2 linked regions of the Sus scrofa genome follow. The protein of the gene in region 2 interacts with the protein of the main gene of each other region in a biochemical or structural test. Links are inferred from orthologs where the notes say so. Each region holds a gene or a part of one and is shown on either strand. Other genes may lie near its edges. The genes, in order: histone H3.2 and KDM5C.

Evidence for each region.
Region 1: the proteins of KDM5C (region 2) and histone H3.2 form a complex in vitro, tested with the Homo sapiens proteins (3 studies listed by BioGRID, with this or other methods). The link is inferred for Sus scrofa from reciprocal best matches to the Homo sapiens genes KDM5C and H3C15.

The regions. Positions count from the first base shown.
Region 1 is NC_010446.5:99,194,897-99,202,235, forward strand, and holds histone H3.2, read left to right. Parts: upstream 1-4,346; coding exon 4,347-4,757; downstream 4,758-7,339. Other genes in the region: histone H2B type 2-E, read right to left, coding at 2,031-2,411; histone H2A type 2-A-like, read left to right, coding at 2,636-3,157. UniProt on the Homo sapiens protein: Core component of nucleosome. Nucleosomes wrap and compact DNA into chromatin, limiting DNA accessibility to the cellular machineries which require DNA as a template.
Region 2 is NC_010461.5:45,986,590-45,995,017, forward strand, and holds part of KDM5C (lysine-specific demethylase 5C), read right to left. Parts: intron 8,325-8,428; coding exon 8,190-8,324; intron 7,465-8,189; coding exon 7,341-7,464; intron 7,247-7,340; coding exon 7,065-7,246; intron 5,826-7,064; coding exon 5,667-5,825; intron 3,895-5,666; coding exon 3,775-3,894; intron 3,643-3,774; coding exon 3,484-3,642; intron 2,605-3,483; coding exon 2,423-2,604; intron 2,324-2,422; coding exon 2,161-2,323; intron 1-2,160. UniProt on the Homo sapiens protein: Histone demethylase that specifically demethylates 'Lys-4' of histone H3, thereby playing a central role in histone code. Does not demethylate histone H3 'Lys-9', H3 'Lys-27', H3 'Lys-36', H3 'Lys-79' or H4 'Lys-20'.

The sequences.
Region 1 (7,339 bases), on a different chromosome or scaffold from region 2:
GATCCTTTAAGGTAATATTCACAGATTCTAGGAATTTAGATGTAGACGTATTTGGGAGCCCCTTTCAGCCTACCACAGCTGTTGACTACTGTTATGGGCTGAACTGTGAAAAGATATGTTGAAGTCTAACTCCCAGAGCCTTAGAATATGACCTTATTTGGTTGTGTGTGTGTGTGTGTGTGTGTGTGTGTGTGTGTGTGTGTTTGCCTTTTCTAGGGCAGCTCCTGCAGCATATGGAGGTTGACAAGCTAGGGGTCTAGTTGGAGTTGTAGCTGCTGGCCTACGCCAGAGCCTACACCGCAGCTCACGGCAATGCCAGATCCTTAACCCACTGAGCAAGGCCAGGGATTGAACCCACAACCTCATGGTTCCTAGTCAGGTTCGTTTCCACCTCGCCGCCACAGGAACTCCCGTTTAGTCTGTTTTTGTATGTGGCTAATTCTGTTTTCTGGGAAATACAAGTGGCGGTTGTTCTCAAACGTGAAGCCACCCAGTGAGATTTTTAAAATTCCAAGTGATGGCTGTATCCAAAATCACTTAAATCAGAATTTCTGGGGATGGCACCCAGGCACCAGTATTTTTAGAAGTTCTCAGGGTACAATGGGGAAATTTGAGACCCAAACATAAGGGGTTGGGTGAGTTCCTTAATGAAAATCAGCGTACAATTAGAGAAACAGAAGAAAAATGCCATAGTCAATAATATACATTGTAGGGCTATCAACTACTAAGTTATACTTCATAACAAACATAAGAAATCAAGTCTTGAAGAATACTTTACGGAAACACAGAAGGAGAAATAAAGCCTAGAAGAATACTACTGTGTTTATAGAGTATGGACAAAGAATGTCACCTGCCATTTCAGTAAATAATAGATGCTGTGGCCAAAAAGCGATCAACCACTGCAGCCACCCCTACAGTGCACCCTGAGGGGATTCAGGATGGAGAAAAACAAGATGATGGCCCTGCAGAGTTAAGGTGCATATCAAAGGAATGGTTTCAATAAGCCCAGACTCTTGCATCTTCCTATACCTAAAAGCACTAAAAGCATTAACTTGAGATGTCTGTTTTCGTGATTAGCAGTTGCATTTTTTTAGAAAGAGATGGGGATCATGTTATTCAGATTCCTGCTGAAAGCAATCCAAGGGTTCCCAAAGTACTAAAACTAAAAGTGTGAGGCCAATCTCCTTTGCCCTCCCAGCCACTGGGGCTTTCTGCTGCTCTAACAGTTCAAACTTTTTCGTCCTTCGGAAATTATGCATATTTCGTTCCCATTGTATGGACATATCATTTAAATTGGGCAAGTTTTCTGAGTGATAATTCTCTAGGGAGGACACTATCACCAAATATTAAGCAGGTCTTATGTGATCTGATGAGATGAAGTAAAGAGAAGGCACCAGCATACCGGCTGATTCCTGGGGATCAAAATCAAGCTTCTATTTTCCTAATTGGGGAATCTACATATAAACAGGCTACACAGATACTTGTAAGTGCAGTATACACAAACTCATGGAATTTGTTAGTACCAAATCTAATAATTATCTTTTTTTGTACACAATAGAGCACATGGGTAAAAAAATTCTGCCACCAGCATTTTGTTCCTTAACACCAGACGGCTACACCTTTGAAGTTTTATGCTGCATGCAGAAGTTTATATACTACAAAAAAAGAAAAAAAGGCATTTTGCTTAACAACTTGGATGTAGACACATGCACTTGCGTTCAATCAAGTCCAAACCAGTTTCAAGAGCAGTTCTATGACAAAATATAGCATGCCTACCCTCCATTAGGTTCTTTCACCCAACTAGGTAAGCATACCTATCCGTCAAATATCTGGATGGAAATAGAATTTGTTTCTAACTACTGGCAACTCCCAGTATTAACTAGAAGAAACCAAAAGGCAAAGTAGGAAAACAGGACCCGGATAAAACAAGATGACAGCTTCTTCCATTGAGAAGATGGGTGGCTCTGAAAAGAGCCTTTTGGAGTCAAGCGACCCGGCGATCGGGCGAGCGCCACTATCCCGGCAGGGACTCACTTGGAGCTGGTGTACTTGGTGACCGCCTTGGTGCCCTCGGACACGGCGTGCTTGGCCAGCTCGCCGGGCAGCAGCAGGCGCACGGCCGTCTGGATCTCCCGGGACGTGATGGTCGAGCGCTTGTTGTAATGAGCCAGGCGGGACGCTTCGCCCGCGATGCGCTCGAAGATGTCGTTGACGAAGGAGTTCATGATGCCCATGGCCTTGGACGAGATGCCCGTGTCCGGGTGCACCTGCTTCAGCACCTTGTACACGTAGATGGAATAGCTCTCCTTGCGGCTGCGCTTCCGCTTCTTGCCGTCCTTCTTCTGGGCTTTGGTGACGGCTTTCTTCGAGCCCTTCTTGGGCGCCGGGGCGGACTTGGCGGGCTCAGGCATAACGGCAGACACCAGCTGCAAAGGACAACCGGGAACGCAAAGGCAACAACTACACGGAGGCTACCGGAAGCGACTCGGTACTTATAGAGGCCGTACGCAAATGAAGGCTTGGGTTCCGCCGCGTTGCGATTCGCGAGTTTTCAGTGGCTCTGCTGCGAGGGGAGACGAGGTTATGTAAATGAGTGGATTCTGGTTGCGCTATCCTATTGGCCACCGGGACACAGATGTGCTCTAGCCAATCAACGTGCTCCGTAGCCAATCGCCGCTCTGCCTATAAAAAGGTGAAGCGGGGCCGTTTAGGGCGACTTTCTCGGTCACCTAAGCGGGAGCCGGTTGCAGTGAGTGTCGTTGTCATGTCTGGTCGTGGCAAACAGGGAGGCAAGGCCCGCGCAAAGGCCAAGTCCCGTTCGTCCCGCGCAGGTCTGCAGTTCCCCGTAGGGCGGGTGCACCGCTTGCTGCGCAAAGGCAACTATGCCGAGCGGGTGGGGGCCGGCGCGCCCGTCTACATGGCGGCGGTGCTGGAGTACCTGACCGCGGAAATCCTGGAGCTGGCGGGCAACGCGGCGCGAGACAACAAGAAGACGCGCATCATCCCCCGCCACTTGCAGCTGGCTATCCGCAACGACGAGGAGCTGAACAAGCTGTTGGGCAAAGTCACCATCGCCCAGGGCGGCGTCTTGCCCAACATCCAGGCCGTGTTGCTCCCCAAGAAGACGGAGAGCCACCACAAGGCAAAGGGCAAGTGAGGCCGGCATCCGGAAGCCCACCCAGCCCCGTCCGGAAGGGGCACCTGTGAAATCAAAGGCTCTTTTCAGAGCCACCCACTCTTTCAAATAAAAAAAAGAGTTGTTACACTAGCCAGCTTTCTCCTTAACTCCACCCTTGGTAGTAAGCACGGAGGTGGGCGGAGGGAGTGCCGTTTGCCCTCTACTCCCTGCCGTTCCTCACTCGCCTCTGGAACTAGGTGCTTTAGCCGTTATTTTGCTGGGAAGCGGGTGCGGGTGGGAGTGTGGCAAATCCTAGGATCTAATTAACGCAGGTAGAGGTAGCAAACCTTGCTTGGGCGAGCCAGGGTCGACTCGGCTGCTGAAAGTAAGCAGTACCAGGCGGCCGCGACGCTCTATCTCGAAGTCGGATGCCCGGTGAGCAACTGCAGTTACTTCCCAAGCCTCTGCCCAACACCTGAGGTCTAGCACCAAGGGGACGTTCCCTCGCACACGCGCACGCCCCGTACACCCCAGTCGGTTAGGGGATAAAGACGGTTTTCGGGAGCGTAGCGGACGTGGGTTTTGGCTTGAGCCCACCGTCTTTGGAAGGGGAGTGGGGGGAGTGAGGAGGCGCCTTCGCGGCGGGGATGGGGATAACAGGTCCTGAGGCTCTCGGAAGTGGAGTCTTGCTCCCGGAGAGGGCGCAGATAACCTTCCGATCCGAAAAGCACCAAAGGGCCGGGGGGCGGGGGGGGGAAGATCGGCCAGACTAGCAGCTAACCTAGGGGGTTCTGACAAGGTAACAAGGCGTTCAGGGGGCGGGGGTTCGGTCCGGGAGGTAAAAAGCGTGGAAAGGAGGCGGGCATCGGGGGTAGCGTGTTCTAAGGGAGCGAAGGGCTGAAGAGGAACGTTCTGACACAGTCGCGCTCAAAAATGACTCTCGCCGGGAAGAAAGGAAAGACGAGGCCGGGAAAACTGCTGGCAAACTGGAAAGTAGAAAGGGAGGGAGGGAGGGAGGGTGGGGGGCGGGCGGAGGAGGATTCTGCCCAAGCCAATCAGTGGCGCTAGGGCTGGTGAGGTCACAGCCAATAGAGAGCCAGCGCGGGACTTTCAATTATTGTCCCGCCCAATCGGGACAAGCCTGTGCCTATAAAGACTGCTGCGGCGGGCGTCCCCCTGGTTACTCTCCCTTCGCTGCGCTGGTAAGCTCGTGTTTTGGCTCGCCGCCATGGCCCGTACTAAGCAGACTGCCCGCAAATCGACCGGGGGCAAGGCCCCGCGGAAGCAGCTGGCCACCAAGGCGGCCCGCAAGAGCGCGCCGGCCACCGGCGGCGTGAAGAAGCCCCACCGCTACCGGCCGGGCACCGTGGCCCTGCGGGAGATCCGGCGCTACCAGAAGTCGACCGAGCTGCTGATCCGCAAGCTGCCCTTCCAGCGCCTGGTGCGCGAGATCGCGCAGGACTTCAAGACGGACCTGCGCTTCCAGAGCTCGGCCGTGATGGCGCTGCAGGAGGCGAGCGAGGCCTACCTGGTGGGGCTGTTTGAAGACACGAACCTGTGTGCCATCCACGCCAAGCGCGTGACCATCATGCCCAAAGACATCCAGCTGGCCCGCCGCATCCGCGGGGAGCGGGCTTAGAGAAAGAAGTGCGCACTCGGCTCGAGGTTCCATCACATCCAAAGGCTCTTTTCAGAGCCACCCACAACCGCACTTGGAAGAGGCTGTGCCACTTTTCCGCGCTCTGTCCGGCGGACTCTCCCATAGCTCGGGGAAGGGAGGATGTTCGAGCCGGCAGAAGCACTGACTGGGCTCCGGGTACCCAAGTGGGTTAGAGGCCAGGTGTCCGGTCTAGCCCCCTGCTTGCTGGCCGCCTCCTGGCGCGTTAGAAGCTTTTGAGTCCTTCAAGAGTTTGGTCAGCTGGCTTCTCCGCTTTCTTGGGCGCGGCCATGGGTCCTCCTCAAAGGGCAAGGCGTCTCCACGGCGGCCCAGAACCGTAGTCTGTTCCAGGGAGGGGCGGGGGGGGCGGGGAGGACGGGTTGAGGCCGGGCGGGGTCACTAGGGGACGCTCAGGATTCGCGCTCCAGGGCGCGCAGGGGCCTGGCCTTTTACGCAGCTGGGAGCCGCGCGAGTATGGGTGCGTCGTCACTCCCCCCACACCCACGCCAACCCGGTGCGTTTCTCTGGCTCGGGAGGGAAATGGCCACCTCCGTCCGTCTGTCCATCCGTCCTCGTTTCTGTCGGGTAAAACCAGGCAGTCCTGCCTTTCAAGGGTTTGTGATTTGGGTCCTCCCTACCACCCTCTGCTTTCCCCCCCTCTCCTTTTGTCTTTATGCCTGCATCCTCAGCACCTGGAAGTTCCCAGGCTAGATGTCAAATCGGACCTCTAGCTCCTGGCCTATACCGCAGCTGTAGCAACGCTAGATTACAGCCTCTTGTGAGACCTACACGGCAGCTCAGGGCAAGGCTGAATCCTTAAACCACTGAGCAAGGCCTCGGATCCAACCCTCGTCCTCTTGAATACTAGTCCGGTTTGTTATCACAGGACCATGAGGGGAACCTCCACTCTGCTTCTCATCAAAAGTCGGAATGGCAGAGTTCCTGTCGTGGCTCCTTGGTTAACGAATCCGACTAGGAACCATGAGGTTACAGGTTCGATCCCTGGCCTTGCTCAATGGGTTAGCGGACTCGCCGTGAGCTGTAGTGTAGATCCCAGACGCGGCTTGGATCCCGCGTTGCTGTGGCTCTGGCATAGGCTGGTGGCTACAGCTCTGCTTGGACCCCTAGCCTGGGAACCTCCATATGCCCCAAGAGCAGCCCAAGAAATGGCAAAAAAAAAAAAAAAAAAAAAAAAAGTCGGAGTGGCTAGCAGGGTGCTGTCCAGACCTTAGGTCTATTTTTGTGAGCTGGGCCTTAAACTGGCTGTTTTTCTGTTCCATTTCACTGAGTGAGTCTCACCTCCCTGAAGTAATTTCTAAACGCTTCAATTGTATCTGGGTTCTCTGTCAATAGTTGGTAGTATCTTGTTAATACGTTTTTTTCAGTCATGTGGGAAGTCTGTCCTCAGGTTTTGGATTACTCGGTGAAAGGACAAAAGTGGGGTTCTGAGTTCTGGGAGATCAAACAGGCAGAACATGGTCCTCTTTTGAGGAGATGAAGTTTCCCTCTGAAGGAGGCCTTAGAGATGATTTTTGTACATTTGGGAAGTGCAGGGCCTCTAGTGGGCTCAGAGTGAAGACAGGGTCTTGCAGAGCCCATCTCCACAAGTTCAGATACAAAGCTGTACAGATCTTAGGTGACAACTCTTCTTAACCTTCTTAAACTTGGAAGAAGCTAACTTGTTTTCTGTTTTGTCTTGGTTCAGTGGCAGGTGAAAAGCATTAACTGATGAGTGAGAATTCACAGAGGACATAGGGAAAAGGAAGGATACTTAGTTTTGTTTTTCTTTCTTACTGTCACATGTAGGAGTTGAATTCGAGCGGCAGCTGCAGCAATGTGGGATCCTTAATGCACTGAGCAAGGCCTGAATGAACCCACATCTTCACAGAGGCAACATGGAGCCCTTAACCTGCTGAACTGCTGAGCCACAACTGGACTCCAATTTTTTTTTTTTTTTTTTTTTAAGCTCCTGTTGCCTCTTTTGAGATGTGCGAGAAATGGGGAGAGCAGTATATAGACTGTGGCCCTCCTGCTACAGTTTGCCACATGTTTCTGCTTCAGCCAGCAGTCACAGCAATTTCCAGAGCATGCCTCCCAGGGCTCTGCCCAGACCGTTATTACCTGCTTAGTCCCCCACTGCAGGATGGATTCAGCCTGGGTCTGTACTCTTCTGAGTTAAGAAGTAGAGACTTAAGGGGGGTGGCATTATATTTACACCTGCTATCTCATCCATCTTCCTGGTAAAATTTTAGGGGACATACAGACATAGGGCTTTCTGAGGTACAGCTTGAAGTTCTCAGGTGAGTAAGTGACTTGTTCATGATCTCGGGTCCAGGAACAGTTGAACAGACTCTGGAAACTTCAATGTCTGTGTCAGGTGTCAGTGCTCCACATCCTCGGCCTGCCTCTGATATCACACTGCTTTATTTTACCAATTAGGACACCCTTAACATCAAGGAAGTCTTTCATTATTAATCGCATGCAAGGGAAATTAATTTAGTGGCATTTTCGATATCCAGTCAGGAGTAGAATAAAATTTTGTCTTCCTGTCAGTATAAAGAAAG
Region 2 (8,428 bases):
GAGTGCAAGAGCCACATGTGGCTAGCGGCTACCAATTGGCTAGTGCCATTTTAAATCATTAAACTTAACAAAAGAGGTTATAAATTCCATACACTGATCACTACTATGTCAAAATCTACATAAAAAAGATGGAAACATAACAATATGTAGAAGAAGTAGAGATAATCTATTTCCATTTTTTTTGGAAAGAGGGATGTTTCCTTGATACTGAAATTAATACCCACACCATATATCTATATCTATAAAAAGAAATGGCCTTCTCTCACCAAAGGGGAAGGCAGGCGAGGTGGGGGTAGGTGGCCAAAGATAGCTCTGAGGGAGCTCCAGCTGGCTAAATTGAAACCTGCCAACATGTGAATATGAAAATCAGATGCCCTGGATTGAGGGGATACTCTGAGGTCCAAAAAGCCTGGAGATGCTGGGAACTACCTATAGGAAGGGCAGGGCAGACAGAGAGTAGGGTGGTAAAGCAGCAGCTGGCTAGAGCCATGAGCAGGAGAAATGCTGTGGAGGTGGAAACAAAGGACACATATCTAAAAGTCTGTGATAAAAGTTTTTTTGAAATGTGGTAAGGGTTAAATAGCTACATATTTATATAATTATAATTATGTATATATATATGGATCTTAGCTGTATGGATCCTTAAGGAGAACCTTGTTCTACTCTTACAAGTCTCCTTGATATTGTGGAAAAGAACTGATGCTATGCTGTGGGTCAGGAAGAAAGGAGTCTAAGGGAAGGTCAGACTCAGTGTCTATTTTTGAGAAGCTTATGGTCCTTGATCATTTTCACATCTCGAGCCCTGTAATTACTGAATGGAGTGAGGTAGAAAGGGAAAGGATACTCCCCCTCACTTCCTCAAGTGGAGGAAGGTGGCCACAACTGTGGTAGAATGTTGTTTCTTCTAAATACCTAGATACCCTAATCTTTGATTAGTAACACTAAGATATGTAATAAAAAATACTACTCACAGATTATATAGTATACCAAAACAAGCTGAAGGTGAGAAGAAATTCAGGTGAGGACCACTTGACCTAGTCCACAGTCCTACTGTACAGATGACCAGGGATTTCAAGGAGAAATTAATTCAGAGAGTACTGACTATCTACCATGTCCCATGCATTAGACTAAGTAGACTAAGTGGCAGGACAGCCAAGGCTGCTGGGGCAGGCATGTTTGAAGGAGATGGGGGAGGATTAGCAGCAGAGAATAAGACTCAAAGCAGAGGTACTCACCCCTGCTCTTACAGGATTGTTGATCAGGTTGTTTTAAGATTCATACTAGAAAACTGGCTGATGCTATTCAATTTTAGAAATTCCCTGGAATATAAAGCCCTTTATAGGTAAGCCAGGTTGTATACCCTGAATGGGAGAGAAGTCCATAGAGAAGGAGAACAGGACAAGCCAGGACTCTGGGTTCAGCTTTTTTTTCTTTTTTTAAATGCTGAAAGATACTGGCACTTTTTTTAAGGTTACTTTTTTACCCCAGCTTTACTAAGATATAATTAACATATAATAACTGTGTAAATTTAAGGTATACAACATGTTGATTTAATACACTTATATATTGCAAAATAATTACCACCACAGACCTCTGATCTGTTAAATAAGTAAAAAGACCTACCTACTGCTTGGAGAACGGTTACAATATGGAGGGTACAGCAAAGACTGGTAGTTGTCCTCCTATATTTATTCTTACCCTCTTTCATAATAACATAACTTCCAATTTGTGGCTGGTACATGACCATCCTTAATAAAAATTAGATTTTCCAGTTTTCCTTGTAGCTAGATGTGGCCATGTGACTAAGCTGTGACTAACAGGAGATGAATGGAAATGATGTATGCCTTTAGAAGTTAAGACGACTTGTCTTGCCTGGTCCCCCCTACATTTCCCTCTCCCACTGACTGGAATGTAGATGTGGTAAGAAGCCTTCCCTAAGGCGCTGCTCTCAAACACCTGGCCCAGAGCGCACATCATCACATTGTATATCTAATCACTATTATTTTGGGTCTCTATTAGAGCCATCAAACCTATAGTCCAATTTAGAAAGAAAAGGAATGAGAAAGAGACAGGGGTAGATTCCAGACAATCACCACCACTACCACCACAAGTCATCACTAACTCATTCCTACCCCTTGCTCCTGTTTCCTGGGTACTCACCGGCACACCATGGGACATGAGGGTGTTGGGATTCATGAGGGTGACAAGTTGGTGCAGAAGATCAGGCTGGCTATCAAAGAGCTCAGGTGTCAGCTTCTTCATCACCTCTTCCAAATGTTCTGCTGCAAGTGAGGGTACCCCATACCAGGTCTTCGGCTCACCCCTGGCCAAATAGAAAGGGGACAGTCAGAGTGGGCACACCTGTGGTACAGAAGGAGCCCCACTCTGACTGTTTCCCTGGCTTCCCAGGACCCCAACTCACCAATGGAGGTAGTTAATGGAGTAACTCCAGTGATCCTCAATATGCCAGCAAAAGGCTGAGAAGACCATGCCTACATAGAGCCAGGGCACCTTCATGCCAGAGATATCTGCATTGATGTGGCACAGTACAGACTGCTCCAACACTGGCATCACATTCAGGTTCCAACCACTTGTAGCATATTCCTGTCGGGTGAGGTATTTGTGGAAAAGGGATGAGGGTTTTGCTAAGATGCTGAGATCTTTAGCCCAGGGAACCTTAATTTTGAAGCCACAGACCTTTCTGAAACATCTAAGAAATACTACAGGTTTTCTCCCAGCCGCTCTCAAATGCATACACACAAAATTTCAATTCACTTCACTTTACTTCAATTTTAGGGAGGTTTATAGATATACCTATCCACCAAATACCTGCAAGTTAAAAGCCCTTGCTCTGGACAAAAATGCATACTTCCCCTTGAAACAGGCCTAGGCCCTCATTTTTTCCCTGCATTTATAATCCCAGTCCCTGAACACTTTTTATGAATGAGCCGGGCACCCTGCCAGGCACGTTCGCATACTTTCTTATTTAATTGTTTGTTTGGTTTTTTTTTCATATGGAGGTTCCCAGGCTAGGGGTCGAATCGGAGCTATAGCCGCCGGCCAACGCCACAGCCACAGCCACTCCAGATCCGAGCCAAATGTGCAACCTACACCACAGCTCACGGCAATGCAGGATCCCCAATCCACTGAGTGAGGCCAGGGATCGAACCCGCAACCTCATGGTTCCTAGTTGGATTTGTTGCCACTGTGCCACAATGGCAACTCCCTCTTTTGTTATAAAATTCATGAGGTGACTACTACCCCCACTTTACAAACAAAAGAAAAAGCCAATCTCATGTCAAGAGATTCTATACTAGATACTAGACTGTGTTCTTTACATACGTCATCCCATCTAAATCTCACAGCAACCACATAAGGCAGGTATAACTGTCCCTATCCTATAGAGATACTGCGTTTTTCAGATACTAAAATAACTTGCCTAAGCTTACACATCTCACATATAACCATGAATCATCTACTCACCTCCTCCTCAGGGGTTAGGTGCCGCTTACTGTCACTGACAGGGAAACCACTACCAAATTCTTTGGAATGGATGTCAGCCCCATACTCAACAGTCACATCTTCCTCAATGCTATTCACCAGCCGCCAGAATTCCTTCTCCACGAGTTCTGTGGGCACCATCTAGGAAACAAGGGTAGCAGATGACCACGGCTCATCACGTCCTGGCCCCATTGACCCAGGAGAGCTAAGACCATCAGGCACCAAACACCTACGACCCTAGCCCTGACACTACCCCAGCCCTCCATCACCTACGTGTACGGGCATGTTGAAGTAATCGGCTTTAAAGGAGTCAGCCATTTCGCCAAAGCTCTGCAGAGTGTATTCCCGGGTAGCCTGCTCAAAGCCAAAGGCTTCGGGGGGGCGCTTACACTCCTGAAACCCAAAGGAGAACATGTCACCAAGGCAGAGGCATAGAGGTGGAGAATCCTCAAAAGCGGAGCTAGAATATGGGGGGTAGGAATAAGGAGGGAGAACAGCCCTAGGTCTGTACTGAAGGCCCCTGAGGCAGGCCTCATGTCATAGCTCTACCTTTTTCTCCTAGCACTTCAGTGTAGTCGGTCTCTTCATTCCCCACACGTATTTCTACCATGGTTTTACTCTTCCTTCAGGGCTTTAGTATCTAAACCACGGGCTCTGACTTAAACATACTACCCTATGCTCTTCTGCCACTTTTTCTTTCGAGATAAAATGTGAGTTTATACAATGCTTAGAGAGGTTTTTCTATGCCCAGACTGGAACTACAGGCCTGGGAACATGTCACCAAATACTCTAGTAGCTTGGAGGATGGGAAACTAATGCACTAGCTTCCAGTGTCAAACTCCACACTATTCCTGTTCTTTACTGTCTCAGTAGACAGGATATGTCTAACTCACTTGTTCCAAAGCTCACGGTTTTAGATGAGAGGTGTGTGTACCCCAGAGTCAGGCAGACCTCCTGCTCCTGTCTGAAAACAATGCCAATTTGGTCCACTGACCCACCGCCACTTAGAGAAGCATGCCAAGAAGAGCTGATAGTCTTTGTTGTCAAGATACTGCTGGTATCCAAACTCCTCCCTAAAGGAATCCCCACCACTACTAAGGCCATTACACACTGCCCTGGTCTCCTTCCTCATCTGTCTGTGTTTGTGTGAATGCACATGCACACCTGGTCTCTAAGACCACAGCTGTCTCTCTAAGATAGGGCAAGAGACTATCGATGTCTACTCTCCAGAAATCCAGAGAGATAGAGATGAGCACCTGGAATTTGGATGAAGGAAGGTAGGAGGCTCATGAAACAGACCTGGCAGACTTCCCAGGCTCTTAGCCCTCACTGCTGCTTCACCTGCTTTCCCCGCTGCCTCTCTTGTACTAGGTACATTCTCCCCATACACCCTTGCTCTTGCAACCCTCCACCCACCAAGGGCTCTAGAAAGCCTGCCCATCTCATGTAGTTAAAGTCTACAACATTGCAAACCAATCTAATTATCACAACAGAAGGAAAACGACTAAACATTATACCCACATGATGGGACCCCTACAAGGAAAAAAAAAATCATACCCGTGAATAATTTAATTATACAGAAAAGTGATTATAAAGTAACAAATGAAAATGTGCAATAAGATCCCAAACTTGTTATATAAGATAGTTATATATATGCAATAATGAAAAGATGAGAAGAAAATATACCAGACTATTAATAATGGCTGTCTCTAGGTGGTGTGATGATACGTAATTTGTCTATTTTCCAAGCTTTCTAAAAGAAACAAAGAATACAGAACTTGGAAATCAAAATAACATTTTTTCCTTCATATTCCTGTCCTCCAAATCTCATTGCTGACACCTTCTCTTATTACTACCCTCAGTCATCTTCCTCTTCCTCTGGACTTCTACACCTGAGTTTTTGAACAAACAACTTAACATTTGATTATACATCTTCACATACAATGTCTAACCATGACTCTCACAACCCCAGGCGGTCTGAGAGCTCCCAGAGAACACAGGGTAAGTGTCCTCCTCTTCTTTCTCCCAAAGCTGTGCCTCTAGCCTAGCCCCACCCTAGGGACCCAAACAGAAGCCTGTGGCTGAGCTAGGAGGCTGCTCTAAGACCAGATGAAGAAAGGCAAAGACAGCCTATGAGGCAAAGACTGGGGCTAGGAAGTCCTTACCGCCATGACACACTTTGGGCACCGCCAAACACCCTTGGGAATCTCAGGCAAAGGAGGCAGCAAGCAGAAGATGTGGTAGTTGTCATCACAGCCATCACACAGCAGGAGCTTGTCGTCCTCATCCCCTCGGGAACACATCCGGCATACATATGACTCAATCTGCCAGGGGAGGGAGGCAACAGTTCATTAACCTAAGCCCTGTGCAGCCTTTCAACCACCAGACTCCTCTAGACAGTAACCTAGTCCACAGAGATCTCCATTAGAAACCCACTGTACTTGCTGGCTGGCTGATTCATGGCCCTATACAGGTCAGTCATGCTAGCTCTGGAGTTTAACTACGTGCATGTACCATCTCCCCCAAATAAACTGGGAGAGCTCTGACAGCAGAGTCTATCATTCAGTCTTGAATCCCTCATTTTTATTCATTCAATAAACACTGAATACTTATGCTCAACATTATGCCAGACTCTGCAGTACAGTGATAAATAAGACATGGTATCTGCCTTTTCTTTCTTTTTTAAATGGCTGCACCTGTGGCATATGGAAGTTCCTGGGCCAGGGACTGAACCCAAGCCACAGATGCAGTAACGCTGGATCCTTTAACACACTGCACCATGCTGGGGATAGAACCTGCACCTCCGCAGCACCCCGAACTGCTGCAGTCAAATTCGTAACCCACTGCACCATGGCAGGAACTCCAGCATCTGCCTTCTAAAGGCATGCAGTACTCTAGAGGCACAAGTTCATAAAAATTAAAGGACAGTGTGGACACTGCCAATAGCAGCCTACAAAAGGGTACTATGGGAACCTAAAGGAGGAAGCATCTGAATCAGCAGGAAATAAGTAGAGACAGCCCCGAGGAAGAACTTCACTGAAAAGGTGATGTTTGAAGCTGACTGGAACCTAAAGGTAAACTGAAATTTGGCTATGGGGCAGAGCACAAAGGGAAACGCTTCTAGGCAGAAGAAACAGCATGTGCATAGGATGGGAAAAAGAAAGCATGGCACATCTTGGGGGAAAAAAACAAACATACCTACAAGTAGTTCAGTGTGGCTATAGCAGAGTGAGGTGGGCAGTGCTGGGGAATGAGGCTAGAGGTCAGCAGGGACTGGATCATGCATGGTAATGAGAAGCTTAGACTTTATCCTGAAGCAATGGAGAGGGAGTCTCCTTCTCCGCACCCTTCCAGCACTTCATGTTGACAGCACTTGATCACCCTTTCTTGCTCTTTGTTCCATGTGAGTTGGCCTTGTTTCCCCAATTAAGTGAGCTACCTGAGGGCAGGGCCCACCAGGCCCACTTTTCTGCTTAATGCAACCTGGTCCAATGCCATGCTGGGGAAAGGCTCGTTGAAGGGATGAGAAGCAGAACATTAGGAAGTCAGGGCTGGGTCCTTACAAACTGGGCATTGCTGTGGTTCCTCCGCAGCCTCATGGTCATCTTGGTGCAGGGCTCTGGGCTGTGACTCAGCTCCTCCTTGCTCTCCAGGAAGGTCTTGGGTGAAGTTGACTCCACCTTCACATCCCCGCCTGACTCCTCCTTCACCACTACTGTTGGGGGGCACTCAGGCCCTTCCTTATCTGGGAGAGAGAGAAATGACTCTACAGTTCAGGAGGTCTGAATAGTCAGGGCCACCTCCTCTCCCTTCACACTGCCCAGCCTGCCAGGCCTCACCTTTCTTCCGCAGAGTCTTATCCTTGGCCATGAGGCCCAGGCCCATCATCTTGGGGCCTGCCCCATAGATCTGAAGCTTCTTCAGTTCAGGGTTCTTTTCAATGTCTTCCTCTGTGGGTTCCGGCTGTAAGGAAAGAAGGAGATGAATCAAGACTGCTATCTGGGGCAAACTGCCCCATCCTAAAAGAACAATAGCTTGGGACTACATATATCACCTGAGCTCATGGCAGGTATGGGGCATAGGTGGGCCAGAGCAAGAATTCAGATTGCTTTTTGGAGACTGGGATAAGTGAACTCCCTCCTCATCCCTCTATTGGAAAGGAAATAAGAGAGGATCTCAGTTTTTCCAACTGTAAAGTGAGAATATTAACTCCCACATTACAGTTACAAGGGGATTTGAGGATATAAAGAAATCTAAGTGCTCGACGCTACCAGTTAGGTGGCAGTGACTAATATGATCTGGTAAATTACATGCTTTGCTGAGCCCAGGGACAGTGTCTATCTTGTTCTCTGTTGTATCTCCAGTGTCTAGAAGAATGCCAGCACATAAGCTTCTGCCTGAAGCTAGGGTATAGTACAAGGAGAATGAAATCTACCCCTCTGAGCAGAGTGAGTCAAGAAGGGAACAAGACAGGCAAGAACAGCAGACATAGAAAAGATATTATACGAACAAAACCCAGCCCAGACGCTCAGCTGAGAATAGAGGAAGAACAAGAGGGAAGCCTGAGAGAGGCACACTACTGTTAGAACCGAGAGAAGGGAGAGTGGACCAGGGAACAGGGCCTCGGCCACAGGGAGGGCAAGGACTCTACCTCCAAAGTTCTAAGTTAGAAGAAGGGAAATACTCACATCAGGCTGCAGTCTCTTGGCTCGCCGGCCATAACTGTTGAACTTGGAGGGTTGTACAGACTGTCGAAGGGGGATACTGTGGGGTTTATATTCCTTGTCCTTCTCTTCATTATCAAATGGACGTGTGTTGCACTGCTGGGGACAGGTAAGGGGTAAGGGTCAGGGCATGGGGCCCCAGCCCCTAACAGCAAAGACTTCTTCTACCCTCGCCCAATGGCAACCAAAGCTCTGGTTTCACC